Linked DNA regions of Arabidopsis thaliana. The protein of the gene in region 3 purifies or fractionates together with the protein of the main gene of each other region. This does not show direct contact. Each region holds a gene or a part of one and is shown on either strand. Other genes may lie near its edges.

Region 1 (4,392 bases), on a different chromosome or scaffold from region 3:
ACCGGAAGGAGGTACGAATCCTTTGGGAAGCATAACCGAGAAAGTATCCTGTCGAACCGGACGGTTTAAACCGTTATTCTTCTTGGCCATCATCTTGAAGTAGCCAGCACGATGATGAAGACCACGGCGATGACGAAGAGTATGTCGATAGTAGTAGTAGTATTGGTGATTGTAACGACGACGACGGTGGTTGTCTCGTTGCAACCGCTGGTTCAAGATAAACGGTGTCGTTTTCTTGATGTAGACGAGTTGGTGCGGTGATTCGTAACCGTTGAGATAAGCTTCCGTTTTTTGTGTTGATGATACTCTTGTTTCTTGATTCGAAGATGATGATGATGGTGAGATGAGGAAGACGAGAGTGAGAATAAGAGAGACGATGAAGCTTTTTAGAAGACTCTGTTTCATCAAAACCAAATCTTCCATTGGGATTGAAAGAGAGTATAGGGTTTTGGCTGAGAGTAAGAGAGAGCGTAAAGATGAAACAAAAGCTCAGAACGAGGAGGGAATTAGAATTATATAATTCCTAATTAGTGATAAGTAATATCATTAATGAAATTATGAATTTGTTTTTTAAATTTTCGTCAATGTTGTGTTAAATATGAATATAGTTTTATATTGTAGTCGAAAGAAAGTGATTAAACATACAAAGGCACATGTTAATTATTTTTGAATGCAAACAATATAAAAAACTCATCACTACTTCATTAGAAAGGAGGAGGAGGAACATCGATGGTGGTTCCAGCCATAATCTGACCCTTACCAATTAGACGCCAATGCCTATCGACACGTCGGCTTAAAGCAACCTTCTCTCCTATGGTGGTACACACCGGAGACGTCAGTTGGAGTTTCACCATATCTTTCTTGACTCCAATAACCTTAGCTCCCGTAGACATAGACCCGATGTTCACCATCAATATCTCTTCTTTGGTTAGCTTTGACACTTTCATTTGCTTCTCTTTTTCCTTTGTCCTCACTCCAATGAGACGAGTCAGAAGCTGGTAACTTACTTCAAGCTCAACAAAGACGTCAGGGAGAGTACCCATTTCACCAAGGACTTGACCAACCAACCTATCAGCACGCGTAAGCGTAGGGTCCATGGTTGTTCCAACTCCGATTAGACCTCCCGGTACAGCAAACTGAAGCTCGTTCTGTTCCGCGTATAGTGAAGTTATACGCGAGTAAATTGGAGTGCATTTTGAGTTTCCATGCTCATCTTTGCCAGTGATACCAGGTCTAATTTCAATCAGTTGGTTCACTTTCAAAACACCCAAACAAAGAGAGACACATATTAATACTAAATTGTTTCACAGTCAGGTAAGAACAGAGGAGAAACAGAGAGATAAAAACATACCTGGAGGATACTTCCACCAGCAACACCACCTTTCATTTCATGACCCGCCGAGCCAGGTTTATTGACATCGAAAGAACGAATCACAATCATCTTTGGTGGTGACACAAAGTCTCTCACAGGGATTGGAATCTTCTTGACAATGTATTCACTCACAACATCAATGTTGTATTTCAGTTGTGCTGAGACAGGAACTATAGGTGCATCCTCAGCATTCGTGTTCTGCAACATTATATATGTGACAGAAAATATGAGAACCAAACTGATGAAGTCATGAAAGATTTAACAACAGAGAGATAAGAAAATTGATCAAACCGTTATAAATTTCTGAATAGCCTCGTGCTGTTCAGTGGCGGCTTTCTCATTAATGAGATCAATCTTGTTCTGAAGGATTATGATATGCTTAAGGCGCATCATATCAACAGAAGCAAGATGTTCAGCGGTTTGTGGTTGTGGACAACTCTCGTTAGCAGCAATTAGAAGTAAAGCACCATCCACGATTGCTGCTCCATTGAGCATTGTCGCCATAAGAATATCATGTCCCTGATGAATAAAAAACAACTCAGTTACATATAGCCAATGGTTCTAGTTTTGAGAGACAAAGTGTAAATTAAACTCATTAATACCGGACAATCGACACATGAGACATGTCTCCGTAGTGTCATCTTGCAATTCTCAAATCCGGGGACATCACAAGTTGGGTTGTCTTCTTTTCCACTCCCATATGACCTAAAATTAACAGATTAGCTGCTGCTACACATAATAACACTTAGCCTTATTATATCAAAAAGAAGATTATGACTCACTTGTAGCACATTGGTCTAGGGCACTTGTCATCCTCACACTTGTAAATCTTTGCATTTGCATAACCAAGCTTAATGGTAATGTTACGCTCTAATTCATTCTTAAAACGCACAGTCTGAACACCAGAGATAGCTTTCACTATAGTCGATTTACCGTGAGCGACATGACCAATGGTTCCTGAGATATATTTAGCACAGTATTGGTTTCTTTGACATCAAGTTATACTATAGACCTAGAGGAGCTGGCAAAAGCAGAGTGTAATTTACCGATATTTATGGTTGCTTGGCGAGAAATGACTTCAGGAAACAGAGGATGTAACTTTGTTACATCAAGCTTAGTTAGATCTTGCTCCGCCAAACCCTTGTTACGCGAAATTAACACAGATTGAACCATCTTTAATCCTGCTAAAACAACGAGATCAATGAAAATTCTGAAATCGATATTAGGGTTTATATACAAAACGATTTCATGCATACCTTGGTTTCTGTTCACAAAACACCACAATAATTTCGATACTCAGTCGATTCCGACAAACCTGAGTACTATAAAGTCTCGATTTTGTTTAATCAGTCTCTTACACTTTGTTGTCCGAAAAATGTTGAGCTCGCTCGATGACAGTTAAAGATTTGTAAGATTGGGGAAGAAGTTTACACGTGGAAGGTAAAAAATGTAGGGTTTTGTAAACCTTTTTTTCATTGCCTTATGATTAACTAGGCCCATTCTTATTATTAGTAAAACCATTAGCACCCAATACGGCCCAATATTGAAAACCTGTAAATTTAAACTCGAATTTGTAATCGGAGTTGAGTTTTTTTTGTAGAGGAGCCAAATAAGAGAACATCTTTTGTAGAATTTTTCATTTTACTCTTTGCTAAACAATTTTTTTAAAAAAAATATGTTTTACATATATTAACGAAGAGATGTACACCGAATTAAGAGTTCTTTGTTTGTCTATTAAGTTTAACGTAAAAATAAACAATAAAAGATCAGCATTTTTATAAACAAACCAAAGTAGAGTTTCTAACGAAACCACAATGAGTAGAGTTTGCAACACAATAAATAGAAATTAATACTAAAAATCTTAAACCACACAAATAAAAGATAGATAACGAAAACAATCACAGAGAAATAACTTAAAGAGTCAAGTGGTAGAACATTAGGCTAAGCGCGAACCTCAACCCAAACTCCGTCAGTGTAAGAAACGATTTGGTTGTTAGCACCCCAAGTGCGGTTTTTCACTCTCTCGCGATCAGTTTTAGTGCCGATAATGTCTAGAGTTTGTGGAAATATCTGAAGTCGATGTTTGATCTGATCAAAAGATTGGCCGTGGAAAGGATTCCATTCGATGGTATCATTCTCTTGAGTATTTGAGACATTCCAATTTTGGGTTCGGAAGGTGAAGTCAAGAGTATGGCCCCATAAAATAATTGATATTTTGTCCACAGATGGGGAGAGGGAATCTATAGTCGAACCACAAATTGGATGGTTGAAGGTAGGGATACGAGTCACTGACCAGTTCTGATCCCAGTCTCCGTTACTCTTGGCTACATAATATATTTGTCGACTAGGAGCATGCATATGCGCTATCACCATATGATTATTTTCGTGAAAGCTATCGGCTAGGAGACAAGCATAAGTGTTGTCTTGACGGGGATCTCCGGTGAGCACACCGTAACGGATCACACATGGGTTATCAGTGGTGAGAAGGGGTAGTTGGTACCGTTGTGAAGTGAACGGGTTGTATAAGAAAGCTTGGTGGTCTTGACGTCGGTGTATGGCACTGGAGTTGGACATAACAACCCAACCCAATGTTGATCCTAAGAATTTGGCCCCTTCAAGATATGGGTCTTTCCCATGATGTAGCTCCTCTCTCACAGGGTCATAGAAATGGGCAACTCGGGATCCCCTTTCACGGTACAACAACCACGGCCTTTCCTCTACGAAACCTCCTTCACGGAAAGAAAGAAATGTGTTCCTCCAATGAGTGTTGACACCTCTTAGTGCCCCACCTTCGGTAAAGTTAGGGTTAAGCAAATTTGTAGAACTTCTGAGGAGATCTTGAGGCAAACTTCCCCATGAATCCCTGCGAGAGAAACAAATTTGAGAGAAGTGAGATGAGAGCATAAACTATAAGAATTAACAAATAAGAACTGGAAGATTATTTTTTTTTTAAAGATGTTCTCAAAAATCCCTCCAAAAAATGAGATGAAACCAAGAAAAATAATTTTGAGAGAAATGAA
Region 2 (4,572 bases), on a different chromosome or scaffold from region 3:
GTGTTCCTCCTGGTCTTTGTCGAAACAGAGAAGAAGCTTCCTTTGTAAAGAGAAGAGCTTCGCAATCTCGAAGATGATTTGTGATTGAGACGAGACAGAGACGCGAAGTTTGAAGAAGAAGAAGAGTAAGAGGAAACTTCGCTTACCGTTATCATCCTTATCCTTCTTCTCCTTCTCCACAACAACGACGATTTCTTCTTTTCCTTTTCACTTTTTTTTTTTTTCTTACGGAATCCAGCTAATGGGCCAGGCCTTTTAGGCCCAATACATCTTTTGCACATTATTAATCTTTGTTGTTTTGGGCGTTAGGAATGAGACCATGACTTCAAGTCTTTCTTTCTGTTTCTTCAAGACTTCAAGTTTCAAGTTTCAACAATCACAAATTATATCTTTCTCTCAAATGAACTATGTAGGATAATTAGTTAATTAAGCTGTAACATCCATAGACTATAAAACTTTTAATAACAAATCAAGATGATGCAATTGATCAAACTCTAGTTAGACTTCACACAAAAAGCATAAGCACATAGAAGTTTAGTTATCTCCTTTGGTGACAGATTAGGAATACTCTGAAGATATAATGAGACTACAAGTTTGGTATATGTGAATGCATCAAATATAATCATGCCAAAGAAGGAGGAGAAGGGATAAAAATGGTGGTTCCAGCCTCAATCTGACCGCGACCGATCAAACGCCAATGCCTATCCACACGGCGACTTATAGCCACTTTCTCTCCAATGCTGGTGCACACAGGGAGTGTCAGATTAACTTTCACCATATCTTTCTTTACTCCAATAACCATAGCTCCCGTAGACATCGATCCGATATTCAACATCAGTATCTCTCCCTTGACTAGCTTTGACACTCTCATTTGCCTCTCTGTTTCCTTTGTCTTCACTCCAATGAGACGTGTCAGAAGCTGGAAACTCACTTCAAGTTCAACATAGACATCAGGGAGAGTACCTATTTCACCAAGGACTTGACCAACTAACCTATCACCACGCGTAAGCGTAGGATCCATGCTTGTCCCAATTCCAATCAAACCTCCCGGGACAGCAAACTGAAGCTCGTTCTGTTCCGCGTACAATGAAGTTATACGCGTGTAAATGGGAGTGCATTTAGTGTCTCCATTCTCATCTTTTCTAGTGATTCCAGGTCTTATCTCTATTATATGCCCCACCTTCAAAACACCCTGCAAACAAAGCAAAGAGAGACATAAGTTACATTGATTCAACCGCGATTTATCCTAGTTTTTCGGGGTATTGAGTATGTTTTACCTGAAGGATACTCCCACCTGCAACTCCACCTTTCATACCATCATAATCAGAGCCAGGTTTATTGACATCAAAAGAACGAATCACAATCATTCTTGGAGGTGACACAAAATCCCTCACAGGGAGTGGAATCTTCTTGACAATGTACTCACACAAAACATCGATGTTGTATTTCAGTTGCGCTGAGACAGGAACTATAGGAGCACCTTCCGCATTCGTGTTCTGTAATAACAAGTTTAAAACTTAACCAACTAATCAAGAAGTGAAAAATGCAAAAAAAAAACAGAATGGGAAAATTGAATCAAACCGTTATAAATCTCTGGATGTCCTCGTGCTGTTTAATAGCCTCGTTTTCTTGGATGAGATCAATCTTGTTCTGAATGATTATGATATCTTTAAGATGCATCATATCAACAGAAGCAAGATGTTCAGCTGTTTGTGGTTGTGGACATGTCTCATTCGCAGCAATGATTAGTAAAGCACCATCCATAATCGCTGCTCCATTCAGCATTGTCGCCATTAGGATATCGTGTCCCTAATCAACACACAAAACACCTCATTAACATATAGAAAATGGTTACAAAAGATTTAGAAATAGTGTTAAAACTCATTTTATACCGGGCAATCAACAAATGAGACATGTCTTAGTAGTTTCATCTTGTACTTCTCATGTCCAGAGACATCACAACTTGGGTTGTCTTCTTTGCCACTCCCGAAAGACCTATAATTAACACATATCATAAGTTGCTACGTACACTACGTAACCTTATTGTAGCAAAAGAAGAGCAAGAATTCACTTGTAGGCTACTGGTCTAGGGCATTTTTCACATTTGTAAATCTTTGCGTTTGCGTAACCAAGTTTAATGGTAATGTTACGCTCCAATTCACTCTTGAATTTGACAGTGTGCACACCGGAAACGGCTTTCACGATTGTCGATTTCCCGTGAGCGACATGGCCAATGGTTCCTGAGATATAGAGAGCATAGTCATATCTTTAGCTTTCAATGCACGGCTGATCAGTTTCTTCAGCATCAAAACTCAATGAAACAAAAACTTGTGTATACCTATGTTAATGGTGGCTTGACGAGAGATGACCTCAGGAGAGAGAGGATGCAGCTGAGCTACATCAAGTTTACTTAGATCTTGTTCAGCTAAGCCCTTGTTCTTCGACATTACGACAGATTTCATCTTAAACACTCTGTTGCAATCAATCAAAGTTCACAACTTTAGAACAACGTTGATCAGAGCCAATACAATAACACTAGAAGTTTCGAAAGGCTGTTCAGAAACTAGGGTTTTTATGCAAGATGGATGGGTTCCGTTCACAATAGTTACGATTCGATTAAATTCAATTAGGGTTGCTAATCTATTTCACTGAAGTTCTTATAAAAATGATTTACACAAACCTGAAGTACGGTAAGAGGTAGATGAAGAAGTTTGCTCGCAGAGATTTCAGAGGAGAAAGCGTGCCGTTGAAGGTTTGTGTTTTTGGTTTTGATAAAGTCAGGTGGCGTGTAAGGTATATTTATAGGTAGGGTTTTATCTTAACGTTTACTGTTTGTCTTTTTCGCCAACTTCATTTTTCCATGTGTCAATAAAACATGTCTTACAATTTTTATTTTATAATTGTCGGTTTCTTACCCGAAATGTTTTTTTATAGGAAAATTTGTGTTAGGTAATTTTGCAATTTCATTTACAAAATATAGCACGCTCCTTTTGAGATGGGCTAAAATCGTTCCAAAGTTTGGGCTTACACGCCTAACCATTGGCCCACTCCAGTTTACTTCTATCTTTCACCAAACTAAGAAACATTGATCCTTGAACAAAAAGTAGTATATGTTTATATGATGACAAAAAAAAAAGAGTAGGAAATCTATGATTCTATAGGAGTGTAAATGAATAAGCTGTGATAAATTTAGGTTATTTTTCTTAACGATATATATTGTTAGATCAAATTTTATAGTTACATCATTTGGAGTATAATGTAAATATGTTCCGCTTTATAATAATGTAAATATGATTTGTAATACTAATGAGAACACACGCTCATTGTCTTCCAGTTCAAGAAATATCTTAAACCCCACTTTTTATCAGCCACCTGAATTTGAGTCTTCCTCTGCCACATAATAAATTGTTTACATGGACCAATTCTTGGTTACAAAACATCTGATATCATATCGTGCAATTAAGAAGGTATTAAATGATGTTTTTTTCTGTGGCATTTGTATATACTTTCAAGTTTCGACCAATTCTATAAGTTAAGAAAAAGGCATTGAGGGAAATTTAGGTTAGAAAAAGTACACAACGATCCCAGCAATGGGAAGTAGCTATCACTTTCAGTGACCCTATTTCTCTGAGTGGGCAATAACATTGTAGGCCCCATTCTGTGGAAAATCCACTAACTTCAATGTCTGCTCTCATTTTCTATTGTCTCCTTCGCTGTTTTTTTACAATTTACGTTACCACCAAAACTATTCCTTTGTTTAATGACGAAAACGCCACTCTTTCTAAGCAAAATGTCAGAGAATTTTGTTTCTTTGTTGGAGAGTTGAAAATATTTTTTACATAGAAAAAGAAACCAATAATGCAGTCAAATAATAATAGGAAGCAAATAATAATGCAAGTATCTCTAATTCTCTATATCAAATTGTATTCAATCATATTCACCAGATGTAACCTCTATAATGGAACCTTTTTGAATATTAAAATATCATTAGATCCTATTCTTACAATGTATCAATCAATTACTAATTAATTTTCTCTGGTTTTCTTGATATAACAATAACGTTAAAAAATCTCATTGTTAATCTCTTTATGCCATCATTAGTATTGTAAGATTTTGTACACTTTAAATTGTAAATTTGATCTTACAGAAACAAAAGATCTACAAATCTTAGTTACAGAAGATAATGGTATTAAACTATACAAATCTTAGTAGTTTAATATTATTAATAATCAAAATTATTCTAAATTAGAACTTTTACAAAATAAACATTTATCAGTCGCTTTCATAAATGTCAAACAATAAAAAAAGAAAAAGAATCAAAGATCTAAAGAGTGGCATTTTTATGACGTCACATTGAAATCCAACCGTGTAAATTCTTTTTTTTTCAATATAAGCAAATTAATTCACACGTTTTGTGCGCTGTCTTCGAAACTAAATCATTTATAAAAAAGACAAAACAGACAAGAAAATACAAACTGTCAAAAGAAGATTTTATATTGGTTGATTTGAAATCTCTCAGCAAAGAAGAAGAAGAAAGATTAAAAAAAAACAATCCTTTATTATTTTTCATTT
Region 3 (4,817 bases):
ATCTATTGATCCGAAAATCTAAGAATAAAAACCAACCTGTTTGCGGAGAGAAGGAGAGGAAGAAGAGTAGTGATCACGGAGAAGATTATGAATAGAACAAACGGATGCTTCGAATCTCAGCTTTTTGTTCAGCTGTTTCTGAAGATCATCAAGCTCAAGCTTCAAGCTTTCCTCGGAAGGAGACGGTGAAGACGATGCATCCATTCAGAAATTTATTTCTTAGAGTTAAGGAGAATACTCAGGGGTTTCGAATGATTTTGGGGATTTTGTAAGAATGATGCAAAAGAAGAACCAATCTCTTGTCTTCTGGGATTTTTGTAGGAGACGAGTTTTCTTGATCAGGAGGAAAGGACGAAGTCGGTCGGTTAATATAGTTCAGTTCGGTTTGGTTCGGTTCAAGACCAAAAGAACAATTGTTAATTACCAATTGTTCGGTTTGGTTTGAGACCAATTTTTTGTTGGTAAATACTAAATCGTATGCGGCTATATTAGACCAAACCGTATACATTATTTGTTTTTTGTAGTATGATTGTAACTGTAGATAAACATAGTGTATATTGGACTTTCTGAGCCTTCCACGCTTTAATTTGAGATGTTGAACGCAATGCCTGTGGACGTTAATATCATTAGTCTATTAATTTTGAACTAAGAATAATCTTAACACAAAAAAGAAGTCCATGGATTTACTAAATCAACCTTCAAGGTGACCACATGAACCTGACAGAGTAAAAGGTTTTGATCCTATCCCATTTTAAAAGTCAAGTCATAATCATATTCCAAAACAAAATAAAAAAAACAAGACAAGTATTTCTTCAACTCATAAACTCATACAGAAGCAGTAGAATAGCTCCAAACTCCATACCAAGGTCACTTCACCTTCTAATTTCTCAAGTCTTCCTGCGACTAACACGAGCAACAAACCCTGTTTTGATCGGAGCCACAGATCGTTGAGATCCACACTGCAAAAACCATGTAGCCCACTCGTTAATCACATTAGCAAATTCAAACACACAAAATACTTTATTACTTTGTTGCGCAGAAAGTAAAACTGTAAAACAGAAACAAAGGAATGCATATCAAGATCAGGACTAATTAGATTAACTTATACCTTTTCACATCTCAGAAAGAAGAGACGGTTCTCCTTGGAGAGAATGGTGTCTGGGCTCTTGCAACCAAGGCAAATGACGTAGTCAGCTGAGAAATAATAAAACAAGAGGTTAACAACTCCAAACTGATATACTTTTATGGCAACTTAAATTTTGAGACTAAGAAGAAAGTTACTTACTGATATATCGCCGCAAAATTCCTTCAAAATTCTTAGGTGCAAACCTTCCCTTAACAACCAACCTTTGCTGCCCATCAAGCGAACCACTAGTACCCAACTCAGCAAGCAAGTATTGCATAACATGATCTGGTTGACGATGCATCCTGATTTTTTATATGCAGATAAGACATGTCATCGAAAAGTCATCAAAATTAAATGGTAATATTACTTATGGTTACACAGAAAAAGTTTGAAGAGGAAGATAAAGAGTTAGCTCATACGTCTTGCAAAGGTCCATGAAGTTGACAAAGACAGTCTTCTTTGTCCCCTCACGAAGAACTTGAGGAGGCCTCATAACTGTACGACGCCTATCTCCAGCAAGCTCCGGATTATTTTCACGGAGAATGTTAAAGACTCTACCAAGAAGCTGCATATATAACTCCCGTCAGCAAAAAAACAAGGGAGCAAGATATTTATGAAGGATTAAAACAAAAGAAATCATCGAAAATATAGTCACCTCGTCATATATGTAATCCCTCTCACTTCCCTCCCAGGGGTAACGTTGCTGTAGAACTATTCCTTCTTCCCCCTCTTGCTCGTCATTAGCAATCTCTGCAATATATTCTCAGTAAGATTCAAACAGGATAAAAACCCCGCCAAGAGAAAAGGTATATTAGCAAACAAAAAAAAAGGATATTAAAAGTACCATCCAAATCTTCCCCAGCATCAACACTTTCGTTGTTCAATAAGCTTGATTCAGTCTAAATATCAAACAAGAACAAATGTGAGTCACAGAATCATCAAACACACAAGTTTAATGACATAAAAAAAATACTAGGCACAAAACGTAAAACAATACTCACTGGCTTCTTCTTCTTTTTCTTCATTCCAGTAAATGAACTCTCAAGACCATCATTAACTGCAAAAACAAGGAATTAGACAAAGTAACACAAAAGACCATTGAAACAAAAAAAATGTTTCACATCACATTGACTCTTCATCATACATACCAGGCAATGAATCAGATTTCTCAGTCTGTGAAGACTCTGCTAAGTCCTCGACAGGTTCCTGAATCACAACCTTCTTCTTCTTTTTCTTCTTGGAAGGATCAAAGGGTGCGAGCTGCTGTAAAAGGATGAACCAAAACATAAAAACCATTCAATCATGAGTTCATCAAACAAAACAAAAAAAAAAATCTATATGGCTAACTTGAGCCCTATCATTAAGAAACAGAGAAAAAAAACAAACTTACTTCTTGCTCTTCCCTTATCTCATTGATTTCATCAGCCATGATTGCAACTGAGATACAAAACGAAAACACACAATGATAATAAGACCTCAGAAACCAAACATATACATATTAGAATCAACATAATCTGTAACAACGATGAGCATAGGCAAGTCCGAAATTAGGGTTTCTAAATCAGAGAGGTAATTCGGAACGCAACAAAACCATAACGAGATTCAGAACAACTTTTCGATTCCCAATAAAAAAAATACCCAAATAAAATGTACGACAAGGCTTCAAATCAGAAACGGAACAGCTAGGTTTACCAATCTGTTTATACTCAATTCTTCCAAAAACACGATTTACTCTGAGATCGACCAGAAGAATTCGAAAAGGAATCGAAGAAAACTCACAAAGGGATGTCTAAGCGCTGAAATTGGCGTAGAGAGTAAACGAGGTTGCTTCGGGAGGAATCTGAGAGAGAGTAAGCGGCGCAGGGGTTGTTTTAATCTGAGATAAGAGTTAACCCTTGCTCCTCCAAAAAAATAGTCCATCTCGAATTGTAACTTTTTTTTTTAATTCAATAGTAAAAGGTCTCTGTAAATATTTCATTTTGCCTAAACCTTAATATTACATTTTTACTTTTTTCTTTTTCTTAACGCATGTTACATTTTAATTTTATCTATTAATTGACACTGAGATTCTCATTTATTATTTTATTTGTCTTAATTAATTAATCAATTGAAATTTTATCAAATCAATTTTTTTTTTTTCAAATTAAGATTTATTTCTTATTAAATTCTGTGAATAGTAAATTATATAAAAATGTTATTAAATATAAATGAAACTAGTAAAGAAAGAAATCAGAATATATTTAGTGTCAAAATTAATAGTCTAGCATATCTTATTTTACTATAAATTACTAAATTATATTATTTTATTATTTAATATATTAAGTATTTTAGTTTGTTAGATATTCAGTAACAAAATTTCCGCAAATGCATTAATTTTCAACCGCTAAATTAATCGTTCAAATTGTTTAATAACGCTTGAGACGGCAACCGCCTACTTCCGCAAATTCATATAGTCATAATCGGATTTTAGCGTTTAAACCACGAGTCTGGCCTTAGATCAAAGAAAACCCTACTTATAGTCAACCCTAATCCATGATACCAAATGGAGAAAAAAAAAGAAAGAAAAAATGGAAATTTCCCAAATTAACACACCCATAACTCAAACTTGTCTCAAACCTCAGATTATATAATTAGGCTAAAATCTGATAAACCAAAAAATGTATCAGAGTGAGTGCTAAAGAGAACTTTGTGTTGACCTCTCTTTCCCTCCTAATTCCTTAGGGTTCCTCGATTTTTCTTTTTCACCGAAACAAAAACCTTATTCCTCCTTCTCTTTCTCTGTCTATCTTTCTCTGTACGTTTTATTCACTTTCCTCCACGTGGATTTGCATAAAAGCATGAAAATTTGTTGATGGGTTTCTCTTCGACATCCAGATTCTAGCTTCCAATTCCGTAATTCTCCGTTAAAAAACCCTAATTTCTCGAATTTACTCTGATCTGTGTAGAAATTAGGGAGTGAAGTGTCCGCAAGTGTTTGGCAATGTCGGATGACATGGTTTTGCATTTCTCCTCGAATTCTTCTAATCAGTCGGATCACTCTTTACCCGACAAAATCGCCAAGCTTGAGGCCCGCTTGACTGGTAAGACCCCTTCCTCGGCCAAGCCACCACAACAACAACAACAGCAGCAGCAGCAGGTCTCTCTCTGGTCATCTGCTTCTGCCGCTGTCAAAGTCGTCACTTCCACACCGCCGGGATTGTCCGAAACCTCTATCAGTGATTCAGACGACGAGGTAGCTTCCGATGTTTGTTTCAAATTCTTTTGTTTATGTCTATGCTATGATTCTTGTGAGTCTAAGGGTCGTTGCTAATTGAATTGTTGATGTCCCTATCCTCCTTGTATTGATCAGTTTGTGCCTAAAGATTGATCAAAGTTGTATGCAATGCTGGCTACATATCCTGGCATTGCAGATGCATCTATATTTCTTTCTTGAACAAGAAATACAGTCTCTTTTTTAGCTAGATCTCATTCTCCTTGTTACTGTCTCAGAATACTGGAGATTTCCTAATCCGAGCAAATACAAAAAAGCGCCAGAAAGTTCAAGAATCTAACAACTTCAGTGTTGTTGATCATGTTGAGGTATTGATTTTTCATAAAGAGTTTTCTTTTAGTCTCTTATCGGGTTGATGTTTTTTATATCAAATATTGGTGTATGATGTAAGTTTTGTCTCCTAGTATTTCTCATCAACTT

What was found. Proteins that work in one complex are often made in the same cells at the same time.
Region 1: the proteins of EIF2 BETA (region 3) and AT4G18330 fractionate together in Arabidopsis thaliana (co-fractionation; one large-scale study listed by BioGRID). This does not show direct contact.
Region 2: the proteins of EIF2 BETA (region 3) and AT2G18720 fractionate together in Arabidopsis thaliana (co-fractionation; one large-scale study listed by BioGRID). This does not show direct contact.

Annotation. Positions count from the first base shown.
Region 1 is NC_003075.7:10,124,900-10,129,291, reverse strand, and holds AT4G18330 (Translation elongation factor EF1A/initiation factor IF2gamma family protein), read right to left. Parts: upstream 2,714-4,392; 5' UTR 2,629-2,713; intron 2,557-2,628; 5' UTR 2,546-2,556; coding exon 2,419-2,545; intron 2,330-2,418; coding exon 2,155-2,329; intron 2,078-2,154; coding exon 1,975-2,077; intron 1,892-1,974; coding exon 1,664-1,891; intron 1,571-1,663; coding exon 1,352-1,570; intron 1,269-1,351; coding exon 705-1,268; 3' UTR 558-704; downstream 1-557. Other genes in the region: AT4G18335 (uncharacterized protein), read right to left, coding at 1-423; AT4G18320 (uncharacterized protein), read right to left, coding at 3,314-4,276.
Region 2 is NC_003071.7:8,114,298-8,118,869, forward strand, and holds AT2G18720 (Translation elongation factor EF1A/initiation factor IF2gamma family protein), read right to left. Parts: upstream 2,702-4,572; 5' UTR 2,681-2,701; intron 2,515-2,680; exon of another isoform or gene 2,473-2,514; 5' UTR 2,463-2,472; coding exon 2,339-2,462; intron 2,241-2,338; coding exon 2,072-2,240; intron 2,042-2,071; exon of another isoform or gene 2,016-2,041; coding exon of another isoform or gene 1,996-2,015; coding exon 1,893-1,995; intron 1,810-1,892; coding exon 1,582-1,809; intron 1,497-1,581; coding exon 1,278-1,496; intron 1,193-1,277; coding exon 623-1,192; 3' UTR 558-622; downstream 1-557. Other genes in the region: SCY1 (SECY homolog 1), read right to left, coding at 1-155; AT2G18721 (uncharacterized protein), read left to right, coding at 2,702-2,809.
Region 3 is NC_003076.8:7,094,107-7,098,923, forward strand, and holds EIF2 BETA (eukaryotic translation initiation factor 2 beta subunit), read right to left. Parts: upstream 3,040-4,817; 5' UTR 2,906-3,039; exon of another isoform or gene 2,765-2,905; intron 2,564-2,764; 5' UTR 2,556-2,563; coding exon 2,517-2,555; intron 2,390-2,516; coding exon 2,275-2,389; intron 2,184-2,274; coding exon 2,128-2,183; intron 2,026-2,127; coding exon 1,971-2,025; intron 1,877-1,970; coding exon 1,782-1,876; intron 1,692-1,781; coding exon 1,546-1,691; intron 1,429-1,545; coding exon 1,286-1,428; intron 1,195-1,285; coding exon 1,109-1,194; intron 960-1,108; coding exon 888-959; 3' UTR 543-887; downstream 1-542. Other genes in the region: AIP2 (RING/U-box superfamily protein), read right to left, coding at 37-204; TSL (Protein kinase superfamily protein), read left to right, coding at 4,107-4,358, 4,616-4,705. UniProt on the Arabidopsis thaliana protein: Component of the eIF2 complex that functions in the early steps of protein synthesis by forming a ternary complex with GTP and initiator tRNA.